Linked DNA regions of Drosophila melanogaster. The protein of the gene in region 1 interacts with the protein of each later gene in a pairwise test. Each region holds a gene or a part of one and is shown on either strand. Other genes may lie near its edges. The genes, in order: CG43861, CG45105, CG13032 and heca.

What was found.
Region 2: the proteins of CG43861 (region 1) and CG45105 interact in a two-hybrid assay, tested with the Drosophila melanogaster proteins (one large-scale study listed by BioGRID).
Region 3: the proteins of CG43861 (region 1) and CG13032 interact in a two-hybrid assay, tested with the Drosophila melanogaster proteins (one large-scale study listed by BioGRID).
Region 4: the proteins of CG43861 (region 1) and heca interact in a two-hybrid assay, tested with the Drosophila melanogaster proteins (one large-scale study listed by BioGRID).

Annotation. Positions count from the first base shown.
Region 1 is NT_033779.5:20,013,745-20,019,426, forward strand, and holds the start of CG43861 (uncharacterized protein), read right to left. Parts: upstream 3,539-5,682; 5' UTR 3,076-3,538; intron 1-3,075.
Region 2 is NT_033777.3:15,913,902-15,919,995, reverse strand, and holds the start of CG45105 (uncharacterized protein), read left to right. Parts: upstream 1-1,988; 5' UTR 1,989-2,191; coding exon 2,192-2,439; intron 2,440-3,273; exon of another isoform or gene 3,274-3,379; coding exon 3,380-3,590; intron 3,591-3,650; coding exon 3,651-5,039; intron 5,040-5,115; coding exon 5,116-5,200; intron 5,201-5,492; coding exon 5,493-5,610; intron 5,611-6,044; coding exon of another isoform or gene 6,045-6,094.
Region 3 is NT_037436.4:16,671,635-16,677,145, reverse strand, and holds CG13032 (uncharacterized protein), read right to left. Parts: upstream 3,183-5,511; 5' UTR 2,999-3,182; coding exon 1,601-2,998; intron 1,545-1,600; coding exon 1,171-1,544; intron 1,113-1,170; coding exon 902-1,112; 3' UTR 882-901; downstream 1-881. Other genes in the region: zetaCOP (coat protein (coatomer) zeta), read left to right, coding at 3,647-3,664, 3,722-4,089, 4,602-4,692, 5,304-5,351.
Region 4 is NT_033777.3:30,275,810-30,281,536, reverse strand, and holds the start of heca (headcase), read right to left. Parts: upstream 3,606-5,727; 5' UTR 2,594-3,605; coding exon 1,290-2,593; intron 1-1,289. UniProt on the Drosophila melanogaster protein: Required for imaginal cell differentiation, may be involved in hormonal responsiveness during metamorphosis. Involved in an inhibitory signaling mechanism to determine the number of cells that will form unicellular sprouts in the trachea.

The DNA.
Region 1 (5,682 bases):
TCTTGTGAGTGGAGAGCTGATTTAATAGAGGATTTCAATTGTAGCTCTTGAGTTGTGAGGTAGATTAACTGATTGCTTACCTTCTAATGGCTCGTTTGGTGCACTTAGAAAATAAATCTATATATTGCTGAAAATTATAAAATTAAATGATAACTTGAATTATTGCTTTACATGCTATTTTTGAATGCATATCTTCGATTCCTCGAATATTGTTTTCCAGTGTAACATTTCATTTAGAATGACTTCCTAGATTTCCTTACTGACAATCTGACGGATAATTCGTTGACATATTTGCACATTCATAATATTTGCATTGTGTTTGATATTTAAGGACAGATATTTTAATTAGAAAGGGATCAAATTTCGAAGTCGAAGGACGCTGCACTTGAGTGACATTGATACACAATTTTCCAAAATGCTAACCAGACATGTGCACACATTTAAAGCTGCTGTCTCCTCGATCTTGACAGTGCGATTTTCTTTATTGACTGGCACAATTTCCCCAGTTCATAATCAATTATGTCCCATGGCCTCAATAAATGGAAATATTCCCAGAAGAGCTTCGACTGCCAGGTAGCGTGTCAATTAAATGGTCATAAACAAGAGTGACGCCGTTCGACAGACAAAAATTTAAATAAAAATTGGAAAATGAAAAGTCAACACGCTCGACTCAACAGCGGAAACGAAAGCGAGCCCATGTCTCACTATCGATGAGCATCGATGTCTGCGTATACGTAATTTTTCAGTTGACATTCGTTTCCTGACTTTTTCTCAACTATTTATAGCCGAAGTCTGCTTTGTTGGGTAACTTCACTTGTGGTGGCTGCCGGTCTTCTTTATTGTCACCCAGCCATTTGCAGCCATTATTTAAATGGCCCAAATGAAAGAGGAGCAGCTGCGTCTGCGAAAGCCTCCGTTTTGGGCGACGGGCTGTGGATGATATCCCATTTCGAGGAACTCCCGAAAAGGTCGGGACCATATCGTTAGACTCAACTTTAAGTCCCAGCTGCCTAAGGATACTCAAAAATGGCATCCAATTGGCTTTAGATTGGGATTATGAATATAATAGCAAACGATTTGCCTGATGGCTTATAGATGGCAAAACTTTATTCCAAACAGTGATTGCAGTCTAAAGATATTATTAACTATTTTGTAGTTGTTTGTAGAGCAACAAAAAAATTCGGATGTATTTTAATGCAATATGGCTAGCTTTTTACGAATAAAAGAAATAATTTACATGAAATTGTAAAGCAGGTTTATAAATACTAGCACGCACCAATTAATAATAAATGTTTTTTATATGTTTCCTTTGTCTCATCCAATCGTGCACAGAAAATAAATCAGGAAACTTTGGTGACGAACGCCAGTATTCGCAAACTATCCAACATATATTGCACTAAAATGCATGTTTTTCTTGTTTTATCTTATATACATTTTGACTGTATGAGGCCAAACTCAGATTAGGATTTAAAGTACACCTACCTCCTCCCTGGAGGACTTAAGATCGGATGAGTAAATGGATTTGGATTACAAACGCTTCACATCTTGTCTCTGTGTATTCTGATATCCGCTTTCATCCGGACCGAGTGTGGCCCACTTCAAGCGAGTGGCATGCAAATAGGATCGGACCCAGAACGCCCTATTCTTGGCCTGCTCTTTTGGGTCTGGGCCCAGTTCCTTATCTGCCGCGCCCATCTGGGCCTGCCACTCGACGCCGACGTTGTCTAGAGTTGGATTCCCGGAGCGGGGTGCTCGGATGCAGTAGGAATAGGAGTAGGACTGGGCGTCTGGGTAGGAATGGTGCAGGATGAAGCCGGCTGCATGTCTGCAGCGTTTGGCTTAACAAGTGATAAACTTGTCGCTTGTCCGCTCCAAGTCCTTGGACATTTTATTATTCCCGCCTCTGCAGCGAGTGCCCTGTGGAAGCCATTACCCCATTCTCCATTCTCCATTCTCCAGTCACCAGCCCCCAGTCGCCAGCCTCCATTTCGATTCCCCAAGACCCCAACTTGCAACAAGACGCTGCAAATAGTTAAGTACAAATTGCATGGCTAATTTGAGCTGTTGCATAAGGCTTAAGAGCTCTCACGCACACAGACCCCACTTCACATCGTGTTGACAAGTTGACCGTAGAATTAGACGGAGAAGGTGTGAAGTGACAGAAGATTTGGCATGAGTAATGACCGTTGCGAGCTGTGCCCATGAAGTAGGCAGGTTTATTAGCAACTGTCGGAAAATAATTTCCACAAGCACTGAAAATTTGCGGGTTGCTTCCATATAATTCAGAACAGTACCGAGAGTCAAGGAACTCAAGTCCGCCCAGAGTTAACGGCTTAAACAAGACTACAATGTGTACTACCTGGAATTGGTAAATGGCTTCACATGGCCAAATGTACACTTACAAATATAACGTAATTCTACCCTTTTATCCATGCAAACTCAAATTAGCTCACAATATAAACTTTCTATCCCAAAAACTTTTTCGCGACAAAAATTGTCAGAGAGCAGTAGAAAATGAAACAAATAAAACGGAAAACTAAGTAGCTACATTTTGGTTCATACTAACGGAAATTCTGTTTAGAATGTAATCCCGAAAAATGTGTTCACAAAGTGAAGGGAAAAGTTGGTGTGGAGTTATATAGTTATATAGATATAGTTTTGGATTAGTATAAACTTGCAGATGGTCAGAAATGTATCTGATTAAAATCAAAACACAATTTAAAGTACCTGTTAAGCAAGGTAAAGCGAAAAAGTAGCTTGAATATTTATTTTGATTTCTTATATCTACTCCAATTTTAAAACCACATATGTATCTATTAGCGTATCTATTATTTCCAGCTCCTTGAGCGCGCTAATGCGATAAGTATACACGGCAACCACTGGGCCACAATTAACGCAGTTCGAAATAGTTTCACAAATAAAGACAACTAGCACTGATTCCCACACTTAAGTTTCCGTTGTACCCATAACCCAATTCGAGACTTAAGCCCCACTAATTATGATTTATTCCACATGTGGCCAACACCCCCGACCTCAGACCCAAAAAAAAAGCCCATTGAGGCAATTGAAACTCACCAAATGCAAGTGTTTGTTTAGACTTATTTACAGCAGCATTTGTATGCAGCTCGGGAGCGACTTTAACTTCATTTTAATGGTTATATTCACCGACATCGGCCGCTCGTTCGGACTCGGATTGTTGATGTTGTTTTACCTGTTACCGTTCTACAAACGATACGAGCACACAAACACAATCACTGCACTTTGGGGAAGATTTTCCAGAAATATTTTTACAAAACTCCGCGGTACTTTGGCCAAACAATTGGGCTTAAACCAACACAAGCAAATGGGGTTTGTTGCGGCAGGCGAATTTCGACAAAATAATGCTTTACACCTTTACACAACGGACTAATTTAGCATTTGCCTAATGGGGCGCAATGAGGCTTTGTTTTCGATTGGTTTTTTCTCTTTTTTTTTTCAGTGGGCCTGGCCAAAAAATGAATTCAAAAATCGAGCGGGTCGGCAGCCGAACGCGTTGAAACTCGTTTTTAGACTGAGTGGTGAGCTTTATGTTCGCAGTTAGTTACCCGCGCGAAAGCATCGCGAGTTCGATTCGAACATGTTGCCTTGCCTCCGTTCAGTTTTTCTCCTTCCTAACCAGGTGAAAATATAATTTTTAACACAGGCGTATGAGTGATATTCAAATTCGATGTAAAATACTGAACTGTGTAAAGAAATCCTTATTTAAATATCTCATTAATAAGAAATATTTAATGGATATATTTCATTTAAAATTATTTAGCATTGTTCTTAATTCTCACGTCTTTTAGTTTCCAAGACATCCTGTTCTAAGACTCTCTGTCGAAAGATTTACACGGAACTAAATTTCCCTCTGTTATTAGTTTGCTATTTACATACCTAACAAAAACTTTCACATTTTTTAAATCGACAAAATTCATCATCACATGATATTATTAATACTTGATTTGATTTATAAATAATCAAAACATGGTCAATTCTAACCTCTATCATATTTGCATATCAGCTGTTCTAGAAGAGCTCACAACCTAACTATTCACAATTCCGAATCTGGTCACGAAAATGACCGCAGAGGCAGAAGCAAGGGTTCGAGAAGTAGGATTGTTGTTTATCTAATAAAAATAAGTTTAGCCAGAACTCAAAAGTAAAACTCTAAATCTCAATTTTAAGGGAATTGTTATTTTATACTTTAAGAAGAATTTAAGCCCAAGATTGTTGGACTCAAACACCAGCTTGTTCGAATCGAACTTCAACATGCCAGCCCAGAATCGAACATGCTGGCAGGTTGCAATCAAACTATCTATCTATCTAACATATATCTATCGGTTGATCTATCTATCTATCTATCTTTATATCTATCTGTATATCTATCTATCTGTCTATCTATCTATCTATTTATATATCTATCTATCTATATATATCTATCTATTTACCTATCTATCTATCCATCTATCTATCTATCTATCTACCTATCTATCTACCTATCTATCTATCTATCTATCTATCTTACCATCTATCTATCTATCTATCTACCTATCTATCTAACCATCTATATATCTATCTATATATCTATCTATCTATATTATATATTCATCATCCACTCGGCGAATAAAACAAACGACACTGAGCTGCAGTCACAAATGAACTTCGTTCTTCTACCGGCAAGATGCCGTAGAATATGGCCAGAAAATAAAACGGAGCGCGTCCAGTTGGACAAGCACTCACCTTGTTAAAACCGAATCCAAAACCCAGCTGCCTTTACCTGCCAGCCGTGCCGTTTTAAAGTCGCATGATTAAGCAATAAATTCACACCAGGGCAAGAAAACGCAAGGCTTCTAGTTGCAGTCGCAATACCGAAAGAAAAACTGTGCAACTAACTATTTGGCAACATTTTAGGTAAACAAGTAGAAGTGCATTTTCAGCCACAGTTTACTCAAAACTTGAGGACACTTACCAAATTATATTTCATTTGTATAGCATCGAGAAATTTTATATATAAAATTTTTACATCGATTGTATGCAGTTTTCAGGTGTATCTACTACTCCAACTTTGGCGAAGATTTCCTCAGGCTAACGGTGTTTTGTTATTTATAGTAAATGTTACCTTTTGCTCCACTGCTTTCGGCCAGGTTTTCTATTTGTATTTACAATTGATTTGCATTTGTGTAACACTGTTTCCTCCATCGAGGAGCGGAAGCCAGCATCGAAAGAGCGACGGAGAAAGGTGTAAATATTGTGATTATGGTTGAGATTGAGATGTAGGTAAATAATATGGCCATCGGTGTGGGTTCAACAGGTGCCTCAGGACAGGCGATAGTAGTAGTAATAGTAGTAGTAGTAGTTGCAAGATGCAAAAAGAAACATAATCCACTTGAGCGGAGGAGGACTTTGATGCAATCGGTGTTAGAAAAGAACTGCAAGCCAGGAAGTGGGGATAATAACAGGTATATCGTCTTGTGAGGTGACGAAACCCAATCTTGTAGCCAATGAACCCAAGTTTCTATTGAGTTTTCCTGTCTAACCTCATATTAAGTCACAATGTTAGTAGAAAAGTAAATAGATTAGAAGTATCTTCCTTATGGATAAGACTATCTTCCATTCAGCTTAAAACAGGCTTTGCACACTCGGAACGCTCCATTTGAGAAC
Region 2 (6,094 bases), on another chromosome or scaffold:
GTGCGGGGCTCGGCATAGGGGATCGGGCACACACTAAGCCCAAGTAGCATGAAACAAGTTCAGCGCTCGACTTTGGCTGCGGCAGCTCAGTTTTGGTCCGCTCTCGGCTTGCTGCGTTTTAGCCAGCCCAGCTCTTAACTTCTTCTTGAATGACTGCGGCGCAGGAATGCAGTGTTGTAAATAGCTAAGGCCGCAGCGACGTAAGCGGCGACTGCGATGCCAGCAGCGAATGCAAGCGGTCCGCACCACATTGTTGTTGGGCGCAGAATCAGAGCAAGTCGGAGGACGACCGGGCCAACAGATCGCGACAACGATCACAGCAGAGAGTTCGAGCTGCAACTTTGCACAGGCAAAAATATTGTGTCTTACGAGAATACACTGAATTAGGATTCAAGCTGCAGTATTTCCTAATGCTCATGTGGCCATCAAATTGATTACTCAATAAAATGAGATGTTAAGACTTATGACAATGAATTTATGAAGCCAAACAATTAATTTTTCCTGTGTAGCTGTCGAAGTTGCTGTTGCCGGAGCTAAGGCTGGAGCAATGAAAATTGCTGAGAGCGCCCCGAGGGCTTCCAACTTGGATTGGGACTGGACATGGTTTGGACCCGGGTCTCTTGCCGCTGCTCTTGACCACGATCGATAAGGCTCGCACACATACGGCCACTTCAGAGACGTGCTTTTCGTGTAGGTTATGTTTATGAATTGTCTTGCAGATTTTTGCACACGGAATTATGCGTTTATCTCAGAGGGTTAATTTCACTGTTTGCTGCTGTTGTAGCTGTTGCTGCTGCTCTATTGTTGCTGTTATTGCTGTTGTTTTCCATGGCCTGGGTAATTAAATCGCAAGAAGCTGATAATATATGGAAAAGGGCTCAAAGTGTGCAGGAAAATGGTTTGTTTTGCCCCTTTTTTTGGCCAAAAGGGTTTTCTGGCTCTGCCGCTGCAATTTCTGCTGATGCGCTTGCTGCTGTGCATTTGCCCGCTAGGAAATTATTCATGATAACAGAGATTGCATTGATTGATTGTGTGGCTGCACTTGGGATGGGTTCGACTCGGATCTCCTGATCAGGCTTTGGGTGCTCCGGGGTGCTTTGCGGGGCTTGTGGAGGGGGCCGTGGGGTCGCTGGGTTCCTGGGAGCTGTTGCATCGACGGCTACCGAGTCTGAGTTATTTGGGCTATTAAATGTCTGTGATTTGGTCATAAGTTATAGGAACATCGACAATCAATTGTTGGCGGGTCTAGGCGGTTACCACATGTGGCAGTAGCTGGCCCCTGGCAGCTGAATACTGAAACTTAATAGTCTTCGAAAGGAATTTGGTAAGAGTACTGTATGAAGAATATTCATATTTAATATGGAAAACCCGATTGGCCTTTATTAGTTTTCCCATTTCAATTGAATTCATTGAATTTCTTTTTAATTCAACTCTTAGCATTTCACTCTGACACTTTGACCTTCTTACTCTCTTATAAAGTTTAATTACTCCTAATTAAATTACTCCAGCTATTAGCAACGTAGGTCATAAATAAATCCACCCAAAACTAAATATAACTGCAGAAATAAACCCAGTTAGGAGCCCTTAAGATATGCAATGAAAACGTTTTTGGCCTCGATTCGCACAGAGAGACAAGCCCAAAGTTGAACAACCCAGAAGAGGAGCAGAGTGGGGACCATGTATATGACCAAATATTGGCACAAATGAGCGTGTCTCTAGTGCATTGACGAGTCCCCCTTTGGTATCGATCAAACAGAAGACGAGCCAATACCGGAGAGATTCCAGGACAAGCCCCCATCGAATTGGTGAGCTGCCATGGCGACAATTGCATTGCTGCGAAGGAAATGCTAATGGGAGTGTTTTGGAATCTTGCTGACAGGGCACGACGTGGCACCAAACCCATTACCACGGCACACTAAACCATATATACCCATGGATGGGGGATATTGGGCCGAACGAGTCTATAAAAGCCCCGACTTGTGTTTGCCGCCGTTTCAGTTCAACTTCATCGCGTCGTCGTCCTGTCGCTCACTCTTTTGCAGAAGCAAAGAAACAATTAAAGTGCAACCGCAAGGCGGAAGGAAGTGCATACCACAAGTGATTCCCCTGCTCCATTGCCGAGTTGCATGTTGGATTGTGCCACAAACTTTTAGCCAAGTTCCCCCCATGCCCCCATGCCCTTGTGTGTAAAATGAAAGCAGACAACTTCTTCAAGTACGGCGCCCCTTTGTACCAACCGAAAAATACCAACCGGAGCCACTCGCACTCGCAGAACCAACCGCAAGCCCACACCGGCAACATCGGCCATCTGACATCGTCGCCGCTTCTGACGAGCGACGACCTGCGTCATCTCACCCAGCAGCGGTCCACCGGATACTCGGACAGGGAGAGCATCGCGAGCGTCAGCAGTGCGGGTGGCCGGATTAAGAGGCGATCGAGGTAATACTTTCGGAAGGAGGAGAAGGGCGCAAGTGGGAGCTAAAACTTTCGAGATGTCTTGAGATGTGGTCAAAAGTTGTTTTCGTTGTAGTTATTTCCTTAGGAACTGACAGATGCAGTTTACGTCAACTTCTCCTTGCGAATAACAAAGCAGCTGCACAACATTGTAGGGTTAAGTCATCAAAGGGCACCTTAGGGAATAAAGCTTAAAAAATTATTTTTTAATTGTAAAGATTTTTTTTTTGTGGTCTTCGTTTTACAAAAGTCATTTTATTACAGCCAGGTGAAATTTAGACCATAACAGATTTTAAGCAATGCAAGAACGTAGAAATCGATATATTTTAATCAAAGAAACAAAAATAATGGAAAAAATCATGTCTAGATATATTCTCTTATGTCTTATCTCTTAAGTCTGGGCCGTATATATTGTTGAGTAATCTAGAAGTTATATTAGACTTCACTTAAGGAACTACTTTTAAAATCGTGTGCTCTTTCCTATTATATAATACTTCATTTTATAACTACAAAAATTAAAAGTTAGAAATCTTGGACTTACATTCAACCCAGCTTTTTTTAAATTCCTTAGTGTATGTTAACACTGATAGATAGTTTGAATCATCGAGTTATATGTTGCTCTATTACCACTTGCCATGGGGTATCCAGGATTTATCAACCCTTGTGGAGGTGTTTGCTCAACCATGACGCATGCACTCGGCCACAGGAGCAGGGTTAAATTTTTATTTTGGCCAACCTGTCGTCCTGGCAACAACTGCAACACCAACTCCAATTGTCACCCCGAAAGGCAGCTTCAGATAGGTTTTTTTCGTTTCGGGCACAGTTCCATTTTCCACTTCAGTTGCTGAGCAACTTTGTTCCGTAGTCAAATTCAGTCTAAAAATGTGATCCTAGATGTGCCCTCCAACTTTTTTTTAACTTTTAGAAATTTCCCGATGAAGTCTTCGAAGGGAGGCATCACCAAGAAGTGCAAGACTATGGATTACACCAACTACGCCTATAATGAGGCAGTGGGTCGCCTCAAGGTAATGCTGGCCGACAACTCGTACGTGGCACCCAAACTGGGAGGAGGAGTGTCTTCCTATTTGCGCAACCTTAACGAGGATTCCGGGGACAACTTCTCTGACAACCTATCGGTTCGTTTTCCAATCAATTCAGTGCAAGGAATTCCTGTAACACTACATATACTTCTATAGGTAATTGAGCGACCCGTCTTCTCGGACATTTCCAAGTACTTGTCGCCCAGCCAGAAGTCGCGGATCAGCTCCTATCGCCCCAAGAAGAGCTATGCCTCGGGATATCTCTCGGCTTCCAAGGAGAATCTAGCTTCCACTCCTTCGCTTTACCCGAGCGCCTCAGTTCCGTCTGCTCCTCTTCCCTCGGACAGTGTCCCGGCTCCTGTGGAGATTTTCAGCTTTATCGAAAAGCAAGAGGACTACATCGAACAGCTGGAAAAGGAATCCAAGTACTGTCGCAACGAGCTGACCAATCTGTTGGGTAAAGTCAAGGATGTGATCAATGAAAATGAGCAGTTGACTGAGAACGCTCGCTCTGAGTTGGTGGGTCTCGGTTCGGGAAATTCGAAGCATCCAATTGTCACTACTAGTCCTTCCTCGGACAGTGACGAGCACTTGATGTTCGCCAGTGGACGTAAGACCCCGTCGACCCCAAGGAAAGGTGCCTCCAAGGGACAGGTGCAAAGTCCTCGTTATGCAAGTGCACCCAATATCGTTTACGAGGCCAGAATCAGCGAGCTGGAAGCCGAACTAATGCAGGCCAGCATCGATCTGAGGCGTCTGCGTACCGAGAACGAGGAGCTAAAGCGGAAACTGAGTCATACGGATCCCCTAACCACTGTGGCCACCTTGTCCGGGGGGTCCAACTGTGAATTGCATCGCAAGCAGCTGGAGAGCCTGCAGCAGGATAAGCAAACTCTGGAGGAAAGTGTTCGACACTTGCAGAGGCTTCTGGACGAGGCAAAGGCTCAGGGCCAGGGTAGCGCCTCGTCCAAGCGATATATCAACGACTTGATGCAGATGGAGCGCTCCCAGGCCGAGCTGGAGGTACGCCACCTCCGGGATGAACTGGATCGCCAGCACGAGCGGGTCAGGGAGCTGCAGCACGAGATGGCTAGGCGGTTGGCCGAGGAGCGGGCCAGTGCCGAAAGGCGCTACAACAGCCAGGTGGATCAACTGGGCGGAGATCTGAGTTGCCAATGGGAGCAGGTGTCCAAGCTCCAGTTGGATCTGGAGCGTCAAAAACGCTACGAAACAGATCTCAAGCGGGATGTGGCCAGTCGCAATTCGCAGATCGAAGAGCTGAAAATGGAACTAAGAGCCAATAGGACCACCTTCCTGGCGGACATGGCGCAGGTGAATGCAGAGAAGCAATCTCTGGAGCAGGACATCACCTCGCTGCGCCTTCAGTTGGATCGGGCTGCCAGGGAGGCCAAAACGGAGGCAGCTCGTCTTAATGCAGAAATAAATTCGCTGAGGCAGCGCCTTGATCGCGGGGATGCTGATCTCCTGCACTCCAAACGAGAAGTACTGCGGCTCAATGATGAGATAGCCAATCTTGAAAAGGAGGTAAATCATAGTATTCATTGTATTAATTTTTAAGCCTGTTGTTTGCTTATAAAATTAATGTTTATTGCACATACAGCTTGCTTATGGGGAGTTAAAGAACGAGATACGACCTACCAAAAAGGATCTGGACAAAAGGATCTCTGAATTGCAGGATAAGCATGGTAAGTGGGCCGAGTTAACACTTTAGCTGGATTACTTCTATCTTTCTACACCCTCTTCACCTATCACTATCCTCCCTATGAACTCTGGTTAAGCTATTGATGCTCCTATTGTGTTCTGCGTGTGTGTCAAATGATATAAAGTCAACTATATTCCAAAGATTCGAACTCGAAACCAACTACAGAGAAATATTCAATAGTTTATCCATGAGTTTGTTCTGTAGCGCGTTGCATTAAGTCCCATATCAAAGTACATAAAACATATATAACTAAACCGTTAAATGTCTGTTTGTAGCGGGAACGGTAAATGAGCTTGAGGAAATGATAACATCTCAGAAGCAACTCATGGATAAACTGACCAACGAGTGTAAAACCTTAACGGGCAAATTAGAGGACACGACCTACAAGCACAAGTAATTATGATCAAATAATACCTAAGCGTATCTCACCTAGCAATTCTGCAAACTCAAATCGATTTGGCTTTTAGAAATCTATTTTATACTATAGTGTAAGTCTAAATAATACCAGTTCGATTAAGTTTATATAGTCACAGTTAATTATTACAAAACGACACCCAAAAAGGTATGTGGGCAATTGATTGAAAGCCTTTTGACATACGGAAACCACCGCACATCGCAATATGAAATTCGAGGCCAAACCAAAGTTTTCCCACCAGTACATTCCGAACACCAATTTTCTTTTCCGAGATTCATTCGTTCCACACCAAAGCAAAAGCAATAAAATAAACATCTCGACCTAGCTTGAGACTGGATTAACACGCTGTACTTGTACTTCTTCAAACCTTTCTTTTGCTGCCTACCCGCCACGCAAATTTCATGGTAATTAGAACCAATTTGCGATCTTGTGATGCCAACAACAACAAGCGAGCCCTTGACC
Region 3 (5,511 bases), on another chromosome or scaffold:
CAATCCACTCGGATTCTGATCGCGTCCTTATCCCTACAATTTTGTCAATTTATCTGTGTAAACGAGGAGGACTTGAAGGATATTGTTCTTGTTTTTGCGGGGGAAATTCATGTTTTTAATATATAAATATTTTTGTTAAGAGAATAATAATTATATATTGTTTGTTTCTAGTGTTAAATTGAAGAAAGAGAATAAGGTGGAGATATCGTTTCGTTTCACAAAAGAAATCCTTGAAAGTGCCTTTAATTTGCTAAAACGTGTTTTTTAGATAAAACCAATTTACTAGGCTTATCAATAATAATGCATTAAAGAATCAATAAAAAAAAATATACTTATACTGTAACTTATACATTTTCATACCATACGCGAGCAATGGAGAACGAATTTCTAACGCAAATAATGAAGCAATTTACAAACGGCAACTAAAACTAATTTAATATGTGATTGCAGGATCGTTTTTCTATGGCAAGTCAAGCTATATATAATGTATTATTAACTTAACTTACAAGACACTCACACACACACACACACACACACATGCATAGCTATAGACAGCAATTAATAACAATTATATAGGCATAATGCAATTGGAAATGCTTCGAGTGGAAAGAAATCACCTAACAAATACTTGAATTAATCTAATCTTATCCTGAAATAGAAGCAGCGCCAAAGGCTTCGTTTTGTGAACGTGTTACAAATCAAATAAAAATTTATGAAAATTTAAAACTCATTGTTTTCGGTACTTCAGAATCAATGATGTGCATTGCAATGCCATGCAAGTTTAATAACATTCCAGTTACATATAAATATGTATATGGCATGACTTCTCGTCCAGTTTTTTTAGCATTGCAAAGAACATAAAAACTAATCAAAATAAAAATCGTGGTTTTGTTCATCTTCATTATTGAATGGAAGTCTCGCTCGTGCTTTTATCTGCATTTTTGCTACGATCGCTCAATCCCTTTTCGCGAGCTCCAAGTACAGTTTCAAGGATAATGGTCTTCGTACTGTTGATGGTGTCCTCGAAAAATTTGGCATCTGCGTTCTTCTCCTCGGTGATATACTCCAGCTTCTCTGTCAGCATTGTGATTTTTTCCTTGGCCAGTTCAAGACTGAAAATATAAGTAGTTATAGTTGATTAAGCGATGGGATTGCCGTGTCCGAACTTACTTATTCTTTAGATCCTCTATTCTGGGCTCAGGCTGTCCTGCCGAATTCAGCGTATTTGTGGACTGGTACTGGGACTGATTTTCGAAGCAGAAGGAACCAATCGATCCGTTAAGAGAAGTGCGACTCAGCGAACTGGCGTAGTCGGCCATTCGCTGGGTGCGTTTCTTCTTATCGGACTGCACATCGAGTTCCTTCTCCAGGTCCCTGATCTTGACCTCCAGTCGGCTGATACGGGCCTTTAACTTGCCAATCTGCTCCTGAGCTGCTTCGTTCTTGGCTCTCTCCGTCTCCAGACGATCTCCTAGAGTTTTGGTGAGCAACATAAGCTGATTTTTCTCCACCTCTAGAGCATCCAGGATGCCCACAAATTCCTCCTGCGGAATATAATTAAGCAAATTAATAGCTTATGTTTTAGTGTACAGAGTTTTACCTTTCGAAACTCGCGGCAGGAGAAGAGGAATCCGCCGGATAGGGCGCGCAGGTCCATTTCCAGCTTCTTGATCATATCCTGCAGACTGGCCATGGCCACATCCTTCTGCTTGACCACCGTCTGCAGCTCCAGATGCATACCGCTCAGCTCTTCCATTTGCCGGCGCGAAAGATCTCGCTCCTCGGTCACCCGGACCAGCTCGCCGCGCATGTCGTCCAAACGGTTCTCGTACTGAATCCTCTGCTGGTTCAGTTTGTCATTCATGGTATTGATATTGGTGCCATTGAAGTCGGTCTGCTCCTCCAGCTCATTGTATAGAATCTTGTACTTGTTCATCTCCTCGTTCAGATTCTTGTTCCTCACCTTTAGGGCGAGTGTCTTGCTGCGTTGATCCTCCAGTTGGTTTTGCAGGCTAAGAATCTCCTTTTCCAGAGCCTCCACCTTGGCTCGATGAAGAATCTCACTTTTACGCACACCCGGTGTAAAGCGATCGAAGCTGGCCGTTGTGGCTCCGCCGCCATCGCCTCCACCTAATCTCTCAGAGCTGGCATGATGTGATCGACAGCTGCCGGTTACCAACTCCAGATCCGAACCCAACGGCACTGGGGCAGCATATTCGGCTCGATCTACGGCTCGGTCCTCGTAGAAATCCAAGCGAGCCTTGAGCTCGTGCACTTTCTGGTTGAGCGCGATGATCTGCTGAGCACGACCGCGCCAATTGGCCTGATTAAGATTGTTGGCCAGGATGTTGATGTTGCAGCTCTCACCGATCTCGTGCTGCAGGCACTTTTGGGCCAGTTTCAGTTGGCTTTGTAGCTCGGTGTTCCTGTTTCGCGTTTCGAAGAGCTTCTGCTGCATACTGTTGATCTTGGCTTGGAGCTCATCGGGGGAGCAGCCCTTTTTTGGCAGATCCTGATTATGCTGCAGCTTCTCCTCGTGCGCACGCAGCTCCTTCTCCAGCTTCTCGATCTGAGCATCCTTTTTACCCAGCCGACTCTTTGCCTGCTCCAATTCGGAACGCATCTGGCGGTTCTTCTTGCTCAGTTCCAGGATTTTGGTGCTGGCAATGGAGGAGTTGCAGCGCAGCTCATCAATGGGCACGGAGTTGAGCACCTCGTTGAGCGAATCAACCGATTTCTTCAGGTCGGATATCTCCTGATTCTTCTCATGAATGGCCTGGGCCAGTGACTGCTTCTCCTGCTCGCATTCGGATAGCTTTTTGCGCAGCTTTTTGGACTCCGGCTTTGTTGGCTTTGGTTTTACCACAGCGGTGGTCAGCACCACATGGGCAGCGGCCATGGCATCATGGTCATGCCGACGTCGAGAGGAACGGCCCACTTTGCACCCCAACAGCTCCTGATCCCGATGGGCTACATACTCTTCCGGCAAAGTCTCCATCGCAATGCCCTCTAGTTGTTCACATAAAAATATACACAATTGAATCTAACAATTTCGTTGGCTGGGCGAAAATAATTTGTACGTGTGCCTGTTCTTGTTACTAAAATATTCACAAATTTTGGTTGTCATCAGTTGTTTCTAGGTTATTCAAATTTAAACCTCATTTGAAACAGACAAATCAAAGGCAAGGCAATTTTTAAATTTGGAACTCTTGTCATAATCAGGATTTCTTCAATAATAGGTAAGTTAAAAATAAACAGAGTTTCTGCAATAATAAAATTGACATTGACAATTCTTTTCTTGATCTTTCCAAACTGTTGTTTTATTTAAGACAGGATAATTTACATTTAAACCGTTATTCTTTTTTTACATTTACATTATTTTATTTTAAATACCCCAGCAAAGTACGGCCAACGTCAAGCAAGCCAGCCCCCCATGTGTTTCAAATTATAATTTAAAATATAATAATAAAACAACGATAACGGCTTAGCTAAAATTCAAAAATTTTAACAGTTTTTCTAGATAGTTTTAACTGTATCTAGCTATTTATTTTGTGACTCGAGTTGGCAGTACTGTTTAGTTGGTATAATTTAGCGGTCGCAATATGGTCATACTAAAGTGACGTGTAAGACACGAAAACAAGTGAAGATGGACGGATTTATGATGGTAAATTGCAAAATACACAAGTAACTGGCTTAAAATCAAACCCAACATGTGCTGCAGGATATCATCAAGGGCATGTGCATCATGGACAACGATGGCAACCGCATCCTGGCCAAGTACTACGACAAGAACATCCTGTCCACGTTGAAGGAGCAGAAGGCCTTCGAAAAGAATCTGTTCAATAAGACGCACCGCTCCAACACGGAGATCATTATGCTGGACGGACTCACCTGCGTGTACAAGAGCAACGTGGACCTCTTCTTCTACGTGATGGGCAACGCCTACGAGAACGAGCTCATCCTGCTGTCCGTGCTCAACTGCCTCTACGATTCCATTAGCCTGATCCTCAAGAAGAACGTTGAGAAGCGCCTGGTGCTGGAAAACCTGGAGATCATCATGCTGGCATTTGACGAGATCTGCGACGGAGGGTGTGTATTAGCGTATACAGTGATGGATGGAAAGAACAAGGGACCAAGTTAAAGCAGCTTTCATTAGCAGCAGTTCGTTTAGAAAACATCAAATTATTACTACACAAGTTCCCATAAATAACATTGTTATTTACTAGTCTATGAGTTAGGCCAGCTCAAGTGAAGCCTCTAAGTAGTTAACCGCATTTAAAGCTTCCTTTTTTTTAACAAAACCTAGTCAAGTCCAATGAAAAGTTATATGATAACTGCGATGTTAGGGTATAGGTACAAAAGTTTAATTATATAAATCAAACTAAATATTAAAATATATTAAACTTAAAGATTAAACTAATACATACGAGCACTGGCATCCTAGGCATGCAGCTCGTATAAGTTTTTAAGTTTATAGGCTGAGCTTTAGAAATCACCTGAGGTACAAAAAGATATACTTTGCCATTCATCACTGTATATTATGCATTACATATTATTAAATACAAATATTCTATTTAAACCTTTACCCGTTTTCCAAATAGCATTATTCTGGATGCGGATCCCTCGTCGGTGGTGAAACGCGTTGATCTGCGCAACGATGACATTCCCATTGCCGAACAGACCGTTGCCCAGGTAACTAACACCCTTAATGGTCTATTTTGGTAGTCTAACTACTTGGTAGCTCTTCTAAGTGTTTATAACTCAATGGTAGCCGTTTGTACTTTAATTTTGTCTGGTTTCGTTTCGCAATTTGATACCCTGCAGTCAAATATATTCTCATTTAGTTTTACCCGCCCTATGAACAAATAATTAGGCTCTTTGTTTTTCAAGACTATATGTAGTTAGTAACTGAGTTAATATAAGTTTACAAGCTTTACACATTTGCCTAGATTTATTTGTTATTCGCATTTTTGTTTAATTACGATCTATTTTCAGTTTCAACAAAAGTGTTTAAATGTTGTAAAATTGTACCTATTTTAATGAATGCTTCCAGATAATATTACTTATTACAATTTAAAGTAGTTGTGTCGGCGTAAATTTCTTTTTACCTTTTGTACATGTTACCGAATTTCGATTACTTTTCCCCATATCGCCCCATTCATTGTACTCCGAGAATGTTCAAAATAAAATTGGTGAAAATGTTCTGGAACTTCGCGCTCATTTTGATTTGTTTCATTAGCTAATTGATCGAAATTATTGCCGAGTATCTGTATCTATATATGTGTGTGCTATCTATCTTTTAGGTTCTGCAATCGGCACGTGAACAACTCAAATGGTCCATTCTGAAGTGATGTGAAATGGGGTGGCGGAAGAGAGGAAGCCACTTCCGTGCCGCGTTGTCGCAATACATTCGATTCTTCTTTTAGCGCCCACTTGTTTTCGCCTAGTTGTAAAGCATATAATAATACATACATTTAACTGGAGAGCACTGCATGTTTTAATTTAGCATTA
Region 4 (5,727 bases), on another chromosome or scaffold:
TTTGAAATTGAGAGAACACCGAAACTTGGATACCCTAATATAGTTTAAATAGAAAAGGATCGGCCGAACTAAATATAGCTTTTACTTAAAAGCTTTTATAAAAAAGCAGATTTTACTGTTTATCGCTAAAACAGCAATTCCGCATTTTAGGTTAAAAAAAAGAGACATGCAAAAAAAAAAGTGTGGCCTTGAAAAGTGTGCAAAACAGAGAGTGAGATAGAGAGCGAAATCCAGAAGAATGAATGGAATTATGCCATAGAAGGCAAAACAAAGTTCTCAGCTTGGAAAGAGAGGGCAAGCTGCCGCGCGAAAGAGATGGACAGAGGGTGAGGGGTTGGGATTCTTAAAACCTGAAGATCGCGTTCAAAACAACAACATTAAAAAAAAAAAAAACACAAAAAGCGATCTAATTCCTCTTCGTGTTGTTCTCCTATTCGCATTTTTTTTTTTTTTTGATCGCAATGAAATAAATAATAGTATTCGCTGCTCTGGGAAACGGAAATATTAAAAGTAGGCACAAAATAAATAAGAACAAGAACACATCTGGGAAACATACCATACGATAAATGTCCGCTGCTATATGGCAGCATATAAATTTCAATAATTTTTCATTGCCTATGATTTATGAGTAAAAAGAATGCCAATGAAGAGTGAAGAACTACAGCAGAATAAAAGAAAGAAAGCCTTGACCCACCGAAAGCAACAAAACAAAAGATTATAATATTTTATTCATTCCCTCTGAGTTGATGCAAATCGTCGACTTCCTTAAGGGGAAAATATTCGCAAATTTCTCGAATAAACCAGCGCATTTTATTTAATATTTCTGCAAATATTGTCTGTATTTCGCAGCTGTTCAGTCGTCAAGGTTATATAATCTATGGAACCGGCAAACGAACGAAAAACGGGCAAACAAACGCCTCAATTGTTGATAACACTGTGCAACACGATAAAGGAACGAGAGTATCAATCTGGTATCTATTTGGCATGTTTGTTGATAACACCTGAAGCCACTGGAAGTTTTATCAAAGGAAAAGCTAAACAAAACTTATAACAACTGCAGTAAATAAATTCGAAATATTAAGGCCCCCCTTGTCGTTCAGTGTAATTGATAAAAGTTTTGTGAATAAATATTGAAACGCTTATGTACCCCAACCACATGCTGGGGAATTTCGCCACACAAATTTCGCTTTGTTAAACAAGTTAACCAAGTATTTAAGATGAAATTCTAGACAATAAGACTATAGCTCCTTATAATCTATATGGTTATCATGATGATATCTTGTACTTACCGCACTCGATCGGAATAGAGTTCGACCTCCTTGTTCTTCTGCTGCTGCACAAGTTGCTGCTGCTCGTAGCTGGCCAATGGCTTGAAGTTGCTGATATTGGCCAAAGCAGGCAGGTTATTCTGCTGCTGCTGTTGTTGTTGCAGCTGCTGCTGCTGCTGCTGCTGGGGAGCAATCAGCAGATTCTTGGACAAGCCCAATCCATTTTGCAAAAGGTTGCTGCCGAAAGCTGGACCCAGAGGCTGGATCAGCAGCGACTGCTGCTGTTGCTGCTGCTGCTGTGGCAGCAATTGCTGCACCGGCGACACGGATATCTCGCCACTGGACTGGGAGTCCGAGGGCGAGGTGGATCCACTGCCAGCTCCACTGGAGGATAGGCTGCCAGCCCTGGCGCGCAGGTCCAGGCCGAGGACATTGTTCGTATTGAGGATGTTGCTGAAAGTGGCCAGCGCACTGGTCTGCAGAACGCCGGAGGAGCCGTTGTTGCCACTGCTGCCATTGCTGGCGGTGTTGCCGTTGTTGTGGGGCAAACCCGACCCTATGACGCCCACATTGGGATTGGGCGTGAGTCCGGCGTAGCTGTTGCCGTTGTTGTTGCTCAAGGGGGTTTTGGTGTTGCCATTGACACCAGCACCACCACCACCGCCGCCGCCGTTGTTGTTGTTGTTGTTGCGGTTCCTCTTCTTCTTGGCCTTCTTCTTGTCGTCGTCCTCGCTGAGGCTGCCATTGGCCAGAGTGGGCCGGTTGCCAGACCCGTTGAGGTATATGACGCCCTGGCTGCTCGGCGGCACCCAGTCGAGGTCCTTGCGCAATTGTCCCCTGCCGCACTTGCAGCTGCAGGCCTTCTGGACCAGCTCGTAGCCCTTCTTGGTCCACAGGTGCTGCAGACGCTGCCGCTCCGACCAGGATCGAGCACGACCGTTGGCCTTCAGTGCCTGCAGCACGCTCGCCTCCCACCACTCGAAGCACTCGCGATGCATGTACTGGCCTGCGCTGCAGTTCTCGTTGTTGCACAGCACACGGATGCAGTCCGCCAGGGAGAGCTCGTTCAGGTGTATCAGGGTGTCCAGTTTGCGACAGTCTCCGCTGGGCAGGCAGCAGTGGACCATGCCCCCGCCGCCAACGCCGCCAACGCCACCGGTTCCCTGCATGGGCGCCATTAGGACGCCTGAAGAATTCACGTTCTCCGCGTAGAACTGCAGCAGTTGATGCTGCTGCGTCTGGTGCTGCTGCTGCAACTGTTGCTGGTGCTGCTGCTGGGTGCTGTTGCCGCTGCTGCTGATGTTGCTGTTGCGACGCGGAGCCATAAATTTGTGTTTTTTCCTCTTAATATGCACTCGTTGCGGCGAAAAACTTGGTTGGTTGGCTGGGTTGGCTGTCCTCGAGAATCCTCAATCTCTATTTCGAATCAGCATTTTGCCAACGATTATGAATTTCAAAATATTGCTTGTTGATTTTTTCGCGATTTTATGGTGCGATTTGCGGTCTATATAAATGCTGCTGGCATATATTTATTTATTTTTGAACCGATTCCAGAATATATTTCAACTGATGGTTTTGGCAGATCCAGTGAGTTTTCGTGAATTTTAGTGGGTTTTTGTAAATTTTTAGAAATTTTGCAGACAAAAGTCTGATTTTATACGGAATTTAATTTTTTTGTGTATAGTAAATGCTTGTTATTTTAGCGATTTAGTCTGTTTAGGTTTTAACTTTTCGGTTGCCTTTTTCAATTGTTTTCAGTTGGATTTTCCGAGTGGGTTTCTACCGAGATTGGTATTATTTTTAACTTGATGGGTAATTGCTTTCACTTATTGCTTTAAAAATTGTACACCTCCTTGCTGTGTGTATCAAAAATACTTCGAAAAATTCCCGTCAATGCAGTCTGTTGTGTTTTGCGTAATTTTCTGTTTTGTTGTTGTACCTGAGCTGAGTTTATTGTTGTTGTAGAACTTTAAGTATCAAAAATTGTTTTTTTTTTATTGTTTATCTTCGCTTCGTCCCTATCTCCCTCTCACACGATCGTTCGCTCTCATTCACACACGCGGCGCCATGTTCGGCAATTTTTCACATTTTGCTTCGCTTTCTGCGTTTATTTCTTTGCGCCTCTTATTTTTTTGCCGGCAAACAAAAAGGATTAGAGGATAGTGTAAATTTCCGATTGGTTTTTAGTCGCAGGACAATTGTAAACTGGAGTGTTCCTCTTCGATTTATTCGGTTTTGCTAGTTCTCCTGTTTTCCGTTTTTTCCCACCACGAGCGGCGCACGCAGAGAGAAGCCAAAAAACACAACCAACCAGATCGAAAGCGAAATTCAAACTGTTTTTGGTCTGTGCTTGCTCGCCGCGTTCGAACATCGCGCGTCGAACATCGCTGCCGGCGTCGCTGCTTGGCATTGGCAGCGAAGTTGGAGTTTTCCTCCACTCCGATTTTCCGCACTTCTTCATTCCGTTTTTCGGGGTTGGTGGGTGGTGGTTGGCTGGTTTTCACTTTCCACCACCGCCGCCAACCGCTCGCTTTTCATTCGGTGGAAAACTGAACAGATTTTTGGCGCTAAAATGAGAAATGGTGGGGGAAAATTGCGGAAGGGGCTACAAAAAAAGTGTCTAATTCACTAGAATTTTCCACTGTAGGCCAGAATTTGGTACATTTTCCCACTTTACAACGGAACTTTTGATAGCAGTTACATACTTGATTAGATTAAATGTCTTAAAAATATATGTAGGAGTTTAGACTTTTGTTAATAAGCTTCATTTCCATAGAAAATGTTTCTATCAAGCCGTATTTTCTTTAAACTAATAAGAATAATAATAACATGTTTCTAACTTTATAGCCAAAAAGGAATATATATTTCTCCCTATGTTTTGGTTCCAAAATTAAATGAATTCGATTATTATTAAATAATCTAAATTTAATTATTTATTAGAATTTTTAGATTTTACATCCATTTCATTTACAATTAGGAGCTCTCGATGATTCGCCAAAATTCACTTTCGTTGCGGCTCGAAGCTGGTTCGAATCAAGTTCGAAGCCGGTCGTTTCCCCTCCAACATGTTCGACTGCAGTTGCCATGCGAACGTCGAGCGCGTTGGCTCTGTTCCACATGCATGGAGCGTGCATATGTGTTTGTGCCAGAAACCGGCAAAGTAAACAACATGAAAACAGGGTTGCCGAGTCGCTGGAACTCGAACTTGCAGCGCACTTTTGCTTTCCGTGGCTAATCTTTTAATTCCAGTGGAAGTGGAAATGCCGTTCGATGTCTCCATCTCCCTCTGTCGGAACTGCCGTTCTCTGTCGCACGCTTCGATTGCTGTTATATATTTACATACAAACGTATCTATATAATCCCCTATATATTCGCAAGCACATTTGCACAAAAATACAAATACAATGAATGCATGCGAGTGCTGGCAATAAAAGTGGCAGAGACAAAAAGGAAGAGAATTAAAACATTGAACGAAAAAGAGTTGAAGATACCCTACCTTGAATTAAAACAACCAATTAAAACTTGAATACGCAGACCTATTACTGCTTTCAATTGAAACAAGTATGTACATATGTATGAATAATTGTAATAGTTAAATTGTTGATATTAGTCCTAAGATTACGAATATCGCAGGTAACTTTTGTATTATGACTACTTATTTGTGTTTTGACTGTAGGGTATTAAAGTTGCCACCAAAACCCAAATAAGCTTTCAAACGTAGAGCCTTTTTATTGTATCCTCGCCTTTGTGTATATATGTACATACACACATATAAAAATTCCCGCTGTGTTGCAAAAAAAAAAAGTATGCGAAAACGAATAAGAAGAAGCGGTAGAAATGGCAAAAAACAGGCACGTGTAGAACGAAAAGTGGTAAAGGGAAGGGATCTCGCAACCAGATGGGGTTTTCTTATAGGACTCAGGATCTCAGGATCCGGGGTTCTATTCTTTTGGTAACTGCGGTGCAAAGTCAAGGTCCAATTCCACTTATTTTCGAGTCAAACTGCGCAGTTTCCATTTTTTTCTCTCGATTTTGACCTGCCGGGTAGAAGAAGAGCGAGCAGGAGGGAGAGAACCAGAGGGTTCTGATATAATAATTAAGTCAGTCAGGTAGGCAGATCGGCAGCCATTGCGTAATAGGATCGTACGTACGAGTATATTTAGGTATGCATGTATGTAATTATGTATGTATAGGTTGTTTGTTGTTCTAGCTAAAGGATCGTCGGTGGAGAGGGTAAAAGAACAAAGGAGGGGCGAACTAGTTTGTTGTTGTTGTCATCGCCGCTTTATAATTCTCAAGGATTTCGCTTTGTGTTCTCTTCGACTCTGACCTAATTTTAATGACCAATGCATAACGAAAAAATAATAATAATAAGAAGAAGAAGATGGCATGTGTTCAAAGCGAAAAGGGAGAAGAGAAGAGGAGAGAGTCTGAAGCCGCGGGCAAAAGCTGAGCTCAT